Macaca fascicularis: one gene and its partner. The protein of the gene in region 2 interacts with the protein of the main gene of each other region in a pairwise test. Links are inferred from orthologs where the notes say so. Each region holds a gene or a part of one and is shown on either strand. Other genes may lie near its edges.

Evidence for each region.
Region 1: the proteins of TEAD4 (region 2) and WWTR1 interact in binary tests that used the Homo sapiens proteins (3 or more experiments, as listed by UniProt). The two-hybrid records come from large-scale screens. The link is inferred for Macaca fascicularis from reciprocal best matches to the Homo sapiens genes TEAD4 and WWTR1.

What each region holds. Positions count from the first base shown.
Region 1 is NC_088376.1:52,343,820-52,347,470, reverse strand, and holds part of WWTR1 (WW domain-containing transcription regulator protein 1), read left to right. Parts: intron 1-2,855; coding exon 2,856-2,989; intron 2,990-3,651. UniProt on the Homo sapiens protein: Transcriptional coactivator which acts as a downstream regulatory target in the Hippo signaling pathway that plays a pivotal role in organ size control and tumor suppression by restricting proliferation and promoting apoptosis.
Region 2 is NC_088385.1:3,922,946-3,926,482, reverse strand, and holds the end of TEAD4 (transcriptional enhancer factor TEF-3), read right to left. Parts: intron 3,478-3,537; coding exon 3,337-3,477; intron 1,112-3,336; coding exon 959-1,111; intron 862-958; coding exon 748-861; 3' UTR 556-747; downstream 1-555. UniProt on the Homo sapiens protein: Transcription factor which plays a key role in the Hippo signaling pathway, a pathway involved in organ size control and tumor suppression by restricting proliferation and promoting apoptosis.

The DNA.
Region 1 (3,651 bases), on a different chromosome or scaffold from region 2:
ATATCATTACAGATAACAATTTGTACGTGTTATACATAATGTATTTTTTTTATCCCATGAAGTTCCAGAAATGATTCTCACTATATCTAAATTTAGAACTCCTGGTAATTGCAGATTCAACTTGTATTCTTTTTTTTTGAGACAGAGTCTCGCTGTGTCGCCCAGGCTGAAGCACAGTGGTACAATCTCAGCTCAATGCAACCTCTGCCTCCCGGGTTCAAGTGGTTCTCCTGCCTCAGCCTCCCAAGTAGCTGGGACCACAGGTGCATGCCACCACGCCCGGCTAACTTTTGTATTTTTAGTAGAGACGGGATTTCACCTTGTTAGCCAGGGTGGTCTCGATCTCCTGACCTCGTGATCCACCTGCTTCGGCCTCCCAAAGTGCTGGGATTACAGGCTTGAGCCACTGCCCAGCCTCAACTTTTATTCTTAGGACTTATGTTGATAAAGTTTTGTCAGATAGAAAGGAATGCAGCCATCTCATCAACTTTTATATTAAAAGTGTCTTTGTTTAGAGGTAAACTCCCACATTTATTCAGAATGATTGAAAAATGGAATATTCTAGTAAAGTTCGTGTTTTTGGATAATGAGGTTATGAGTCAAAAGATTCTTGCATTTATGGTTAATAAAGTACTAGAAATTTACCATTGACAAGGTACATTTTTTCAAACTGTGGCTCAGGGTATGTGAGTGTGCTTGAGGGATGGGGACTGGTGGGGTCCAGGCTTTTTATGCCAGATTCAATCCTTGTTGCTCCTTCTGAGGCTTTCAGGAAAACTTTGGTTGGATAATAAGGTTTCTAATGCACCCTGCCTGCCATGTTAAAAACAACTATCAGAAAGTCATTTGATTTTTCTAGGTTTATTCAGAAGGCACTTCCAAGATTTAGATGGTGAATGAAAATAACTTCTTACCAAAAAAAATCTCCATTTTTTGGTTTGCTTTTTATAGATTCCTGAATAAAATTTGTTAGTTAAGTATTCGATTATTTGCAATTTAGATGAACAGAAGTGAGCCAGAGACCCTTTCCAGCTAGAAAATTTATTTCAGTATAAGTTAACAATACAGTTGTTTTTTTTTTTAATCAATCAGTTCTCTCATGGTTTGTAACAGCACAACGAACTCTAGTAACTGAAAATTTTTATAGCCAATGACTTCACTAGGACTTGTCTAGACAGCAGTTACCCTCTAAAGTCACAGCATGTTAGGGCTGGAAGAGATCTAACAAAGATACTGTAATTTAGAAGTCCTAAATGTTCTGTTTGCCATTGTAGCCATGGTTTTACGGTTTGAGGGACAGTGAGACCAATGACTTCAGCATGGAAAGTGGGAAACTGATAGGCATAAATATGGGGAAAGGCCTAACCTTAGTTTGGGATGCAAATGTAAACATATAAAAGTATTCTCTGGAAACAGCAGCAAATTTGAAAGGAATTTGATGTCTGGTTATGTTTGTCAAAAAGGAGAGACTCCTGGAGATCATACCTAGAGAAAGTAATTGCAGTCAGTAGATTTCTAGCATTTTGGATGGACTCTCCTTGGCAATGTAATGCTAGCTTTTATAAAATAATGTTTATATTATTTGTTTTTGCTAATGAAATCCATATGCTGTGAAACAGTTACTTGTCTGTGGGATTTGGATTGGATCTACATGTTTCCCCAATCTTCAGCATTTTAGTCAACGAAGTAGTCAAATGGATTGACTTTTTTTTTTCCTTTTTTTTTCCTTTTTTTTGAGACAGCGTCTCACTCTGTCATCCAGGCTAGAGTGCAGTGGCGTGATCTCTGCTCACTTTAGTCTCAACCTCCCAGGCACGAGGCTCCTCCTACCTCAGGCTCCCAAGTAACACCAGTCCCAGCTAATTTTTGTGTTTTTTGTAGAGACAAGGTTTCACCATGTTGCCCAGGCTGGTCTCGAACTTGTGGGCTCCAGTGATCCGCCCACCTCGACCTCCCAAAGTGCTGGGATTATGGACGTGAGCCACCGCCCCTGGCCACTGATTGGCTTTTCAAAGTAAACTTTCAACTCATTGTTTTGCTTTCCTGTCTGTAAACATAAAACTTCCAGATGCAATTTAATGTAGAGCCTGTACTCTGTAATTCCACAGTTTTACTGGCCTGTAAGTGGCAAAGACCAGAATGTACCTTATAGTCCAGAGGAATCTGATTGCTTTGATTGATGTAGATTTGGTTTGAGAACCTCAGATAGAAATAGCCTTGTCTCTGAGAAGTGTTTTGAGAGGACTTTCTATGATTTGGGTGTTTAAATAATTGCATGGGTGGGATGATTGCAACAGTTAAGTGCCCTTAGGTCAAATAATAGCTGAGCTTCCCATTAACTTTGTGAATGTGAAGTGACTTATGTCTGTAAGACTTTCTTCAGAGAAAGAATACCAGTGGTTACCTGGTGATTTTGACTTGCTGGGAGTAAATACACAGTGCTTTGTATTTGGTGAAAAGTTTTTGTTTTTTTTGAGACGGAATCTCGCTCTGTCACCCAGGCTGGAGCGCAATGGTGTGATCTCGGCTCATTGCAAGTTCCGCCTCCCAGGTTCACGCCATTCTCCTGCCTCAGCCTCCCGAGTAGTTGGGACTACAGGCGCCCGCCACCTCGCCCGGCTAGTTTTTTGTATTTTTTTAGTAGAGACGGGATTTCACCGTGTTGGCCAGGATGGTCTCGATCTCCCGACCTCGTGATCTGCCCGTCTCGGCCTCCCAAAGTGCTAGGATTACAGGCTTGAGCCACTGCGCCCGGCCTGGTGAAAAGTTTTGATGTGACATACACTCTGCTCCATGCCTTGTGACAATGAGTGAATGACTCTTGCTTCCCACTCTGACTGTTGTTACTTCTGTAGGAAGCTGCCCTCTGTCGACAGCTCCCCATGGAAGCTGAGACTCTTGCTCCAGTTCAGGCTGCTGTCAACCCACCCACGATGACCCCAGACATGAGATCCATCACTAATAATAGCTCAGATCCTTTCCTCAATGGGTAAGTTAATATTTGGGGGCCACTTATTTTTGTTCTCTTTATTATGTGATCTAGACTATGATATGATCTTTGTTTACATTGGGAAGAGGTGGAGAACTTGAGGGTTGAGGGTGAGGATAAAGGGAGGAAGTGGGAGGAGCTGGCAGAAAATAGAAAGGCAGGGGAAGTCATCTACCTTTTAAAAAAATTTCCAAATTAAAAAATTAGTGATAGGACATAGAGTAAACCCCTAGTCAAGAATTTGAAAATGGGCATGAATTTATATATTTTTTAAACATGATAGTGTTGTTTAGTACTTATACTTGGAAGAATCTTGTGGTTTTATGTAACCAACAGGGGATAAAAGCATGCCATATGGCAAGTTGAGAACAGAACAATTAAGAAATGATGTTCAGCCAGGCGTGGTGGCTTATGCCTGTAATCCCAGCACTTTGGGAGGCCGAGGCAGGCGGATCACCTGAGGTCGGGTGTTCGAGACCAGTCTGACCAACATGGAGAAACCCCGTCTCTATTGAAAATACAAAATTAGCAGGGCGTGGTGGTGCATGCCTGCAATCCCAGCTACTCAGGAGGCTGAGGCAGGAGAATTGCTTGAACCCAGGAGGCGGAGGTTGCGGTGAGCCGAGATTGCACCATTGCACTCCAGCCTGGGCAACAAGAGT
Region 2 (3,537 bases):
AACCCAGGAACCCCTTCAGCTGCGTATCTAAGTCCAGGCTCCTCAGCCCCGCTGCCTCCTGCCCTCCCAGCCTCCTGCCCTCCCCACCTCAGTCTCCTTCGATCTGAAACCAGCGCCCCCAGCGTGGTCATGGAAGATAGTCATGGCATCCGCATCCACTGAGATGGACGGAAACTATCCAGAGAGTTCTGACGGTGTCCCCGTCCAACAACTGTCACCTCCACACCTAAAACCCGCCCCCCCGGGGACGGGGCCTCTCTGTGTGAACCGTCCTGCGAGTGCAGCAGGGGTGCACATGGCTGCGGGTGCATAGCCCATGCATTCCTCGGACCTCCCGGCGTGGCCACCGCCACAGTGCAGGGGCTTGAGAGGCAGCACGGGGACCGTCACATCTTCGGTTCCAGGGTCTGGTGATGTTCCTGGCTGAGTCCATTGGGATGCTGGCTTCAGAAATGCCCGGGGTGCGTCTCTGAGCACTGCTTCCGGCCTGCCTCCCAGATGGCCCCATTGCTCCCCCAGTCCCTCCCGAGGCTCACACAGCCAGACCAGGTCCTCTGAAAAGACACAGCATCTTGGGTTTATTTGGGGTTGGGCACTGCAGGTTCAGGCACAGTTTGTTCCTGGGTAGAGTCACAACTGCTCCTCTCAGCTCTCTCGGCACTTCAGGGGCTGCCCCTGCAGGTCCCCTCCCCACGTCCCCGTTTCCTGCACACACGTCTCTTCCCCCCTCCCTGCTCCCCGAGTCTCTCATTCTTTCACCAGCCTGTAGATATGGTGCTGAGCCCCATGCTCACTGGCTGACACCTCGAAGACATAGGCGATGCACAGCAAGGTCTCCTGTGTGTCTCTGTTGGTGACCACCTGTGGGAGAGAAAAAGACAAGGGTGAATAAGGCCCCAGACGAGGGCACGCCCTCGCTGCTACCCACACACAGACTCCAGCCACACCCGCGGCACACCTGCAGGATGGTGAAGTTCTCCAGCACGCTGTTCATCATGTACTTCTCGGGGAGATGCTTCAGCTTGTGGATGAAGTTGATCATGTACTCACAGAGCGGGGAGCGGTGGATGCGGTAAGAATAGTGTCCATTCTCATAGCGAGCATACTCTGTCTGCAGGGCCCGGGGACAGCAGGGGCTTAGAATCCCATTCTGACCACCTTCGGCCCAGACCCAACTCCATGGGAAGCCCCAGGACCCAGACTCAACTCCATGGGAAGCCCCAGGACCCAGACCCAACTCCATGGGAAGGAAAGGCAGGAGGCCTAGGGGCCCTTAAGAAAAGAGTCACCCCCAGCCAGGGGCCGTGGCTCACGCCTGCAATCCCAACACTTTGGGAGGCCAAGACAGGCGGATCACCTGAGGTCAGGAGTTCAAGACCAGCCTGGCCAACATGGTGAAACCCTGTTACTATTAAAATACAAAAATTAGCCAGGCACGGTGGCACGCGCCGGTAATCCCAGCTACTCTGGAGGCTGAGGCAGGAGAATCGCTTGAACCTGGGAGGCGGAGGTGGCAGTGAGCTGAGATCATACCACTGCATTCCAGCCAGGGCGACAGAGTAAGACTGTCTCACACACACACACAAAAAGTCACCCTGTTAGGTTGGTGGACATTAAACAAGACCTCCTTCCTCCACGGGTGACCAGCAGGAACCGGGGATGGCAGGAGGGGAGCTTAAGGAGACACAGGAGCAGTGGGAAGGAGCCTCTCAATCCTGGCTGTACGTGAGGACACCACGGGGGATACACAGGGACCCCCGGGAGTCTGGTGGTGATCATGCAAGTCTCCATATCTACACGCACCCATGCACGTGCACAAAGGAGCGCGTATAAAGCTGGTGAGATCTGAACCAGCTTGGTGGACTGCATCAATGTCAATTTCCTGGGTGTCCCCTTTATACTTTAGTTATACAAGACATTGCCAGGGCAAGAACTGGGTAAAGGGCACATGGGATTATGATCCCAAGTGGATCCACAATTATCTCAAAAGTTTTACAAAATAAATTAGAAATAAATAATTGGAGGCACTTTTTTTTTTTTTTTTTTTTTTTTTTGAGACGGAGTCTAGCTCTGTCGCCCAGGCTGGAGTGCAATGGCCGGATCTCAGCTCTCTGCAAGCTCCGCCTCCCGGGTTCACGCCATTCTCCTGCCTCAGCCTCCGGAGTAGCTGGGACTACAGGCGCCCGCCACCTCGCCCGGCTAGTTTTTTGTATTTTTAGTAGAGACGGGGTTTCACCATGTTAGCCAGGATGGTCTCGATCTCCTGACCTTGTGATCCGCCCGTCTCGGCCTCCCAAAGTGCTGGGATTACAGGCTTGAGCCACCGCGCCCGGCCGGAGGCACTTTTTAAAAACCAATAATGCCTGGACTCTACCCTAGAGATTGAGGGGTGCTGAACGGGTTTCAGGCACTGGTGTGTTTCCAAAGCTCCCAGGAGACTGTAGGGTGCAGCCAGGTGGAGAAGCACTGGGGGAAGGAATCTCTCTTCCCTGATGCTGGCCTGGCATCTGGCTGCATTTGGCATGAGGAAGGTTATCAATAACTGATAGGCTGTGAGACTAGGACTTCATGAATTCAGACCAAGCTGGGGACAGGGTGAGGAGAGGGACGCAGACCGGCCTGCATGGCGAGGGGGTCTGGTTTAACAAGTGTGTGGGCGGCACAGGGTCCTGGACTCTCAGAGTGCACAGGTGTTTCGGGTCGGAGGCCTTCAGTCCCAGCTCCTTGTCACTGCCACTGTGCAGCGGGCCCAGAACACAGGGTGCTGCAGGAGACTGTGTCACGGACAGTGAAGACAACTTGGCCCTTGTTTAGAGATAAACGGAGGATTTTATCACAACCCCCCAAACACCCACCGGAAAGCAGGGTGGCTGGGTGGGGATCCCCCTGAATGTGTGCTCCTCACCACTGTCCTGCACTGCCCTTGGCCGGGGGTTTAGCCGAGTGGGAGAAACCACCGCCTAAAAGGCAGGCCTGACTTTTCTGTAACGTCCACTAGAGCGGGGTCTTCAGGTCACCCACAAGTAGAAAATCAGGGAGTTTTAGGCATTCATGGAGCAAAGTGAGCAGCGGATGGAGATCCTAGGCACCCAGGCCTGCTTCTGCATTAGTGAGCGGTGTGACCACGTGCGGGCGGTCGGGGGAGGCCTCTGCTCTCTCTGGGCCTCTACTGTGAAGCCAGAGGGCTGGACTAGGTAGATGCCCCTGGGCCCTGCCTGTGCTGCGGCTCTGATCTTGGAGAGGACCGGGGGCGCCTGTAAGGACGTGCTTGGAAGATCCTGAACGGGGAGCAATGGCTCTGGGGAGCGCCCCTCACCCACCAGGGTGGCCTCCTACCTCAACTTTCTCCACCACCTGCTTGCCGAAAGAGCAGACCTTGGTGGAGCAGGTGATAATCATGTTCTCGGGGCTCTCATACTGGCTGGAGACCCCATAGAAGGAGCTGCCTTCATCCTCGATGTTGGTGTTGAGGTCTGCCTGGAGGGAGACAGGGGGAAGCCGAGGGAGGGTCAGCAGGTGCCGTGTCAGACGGGAGCA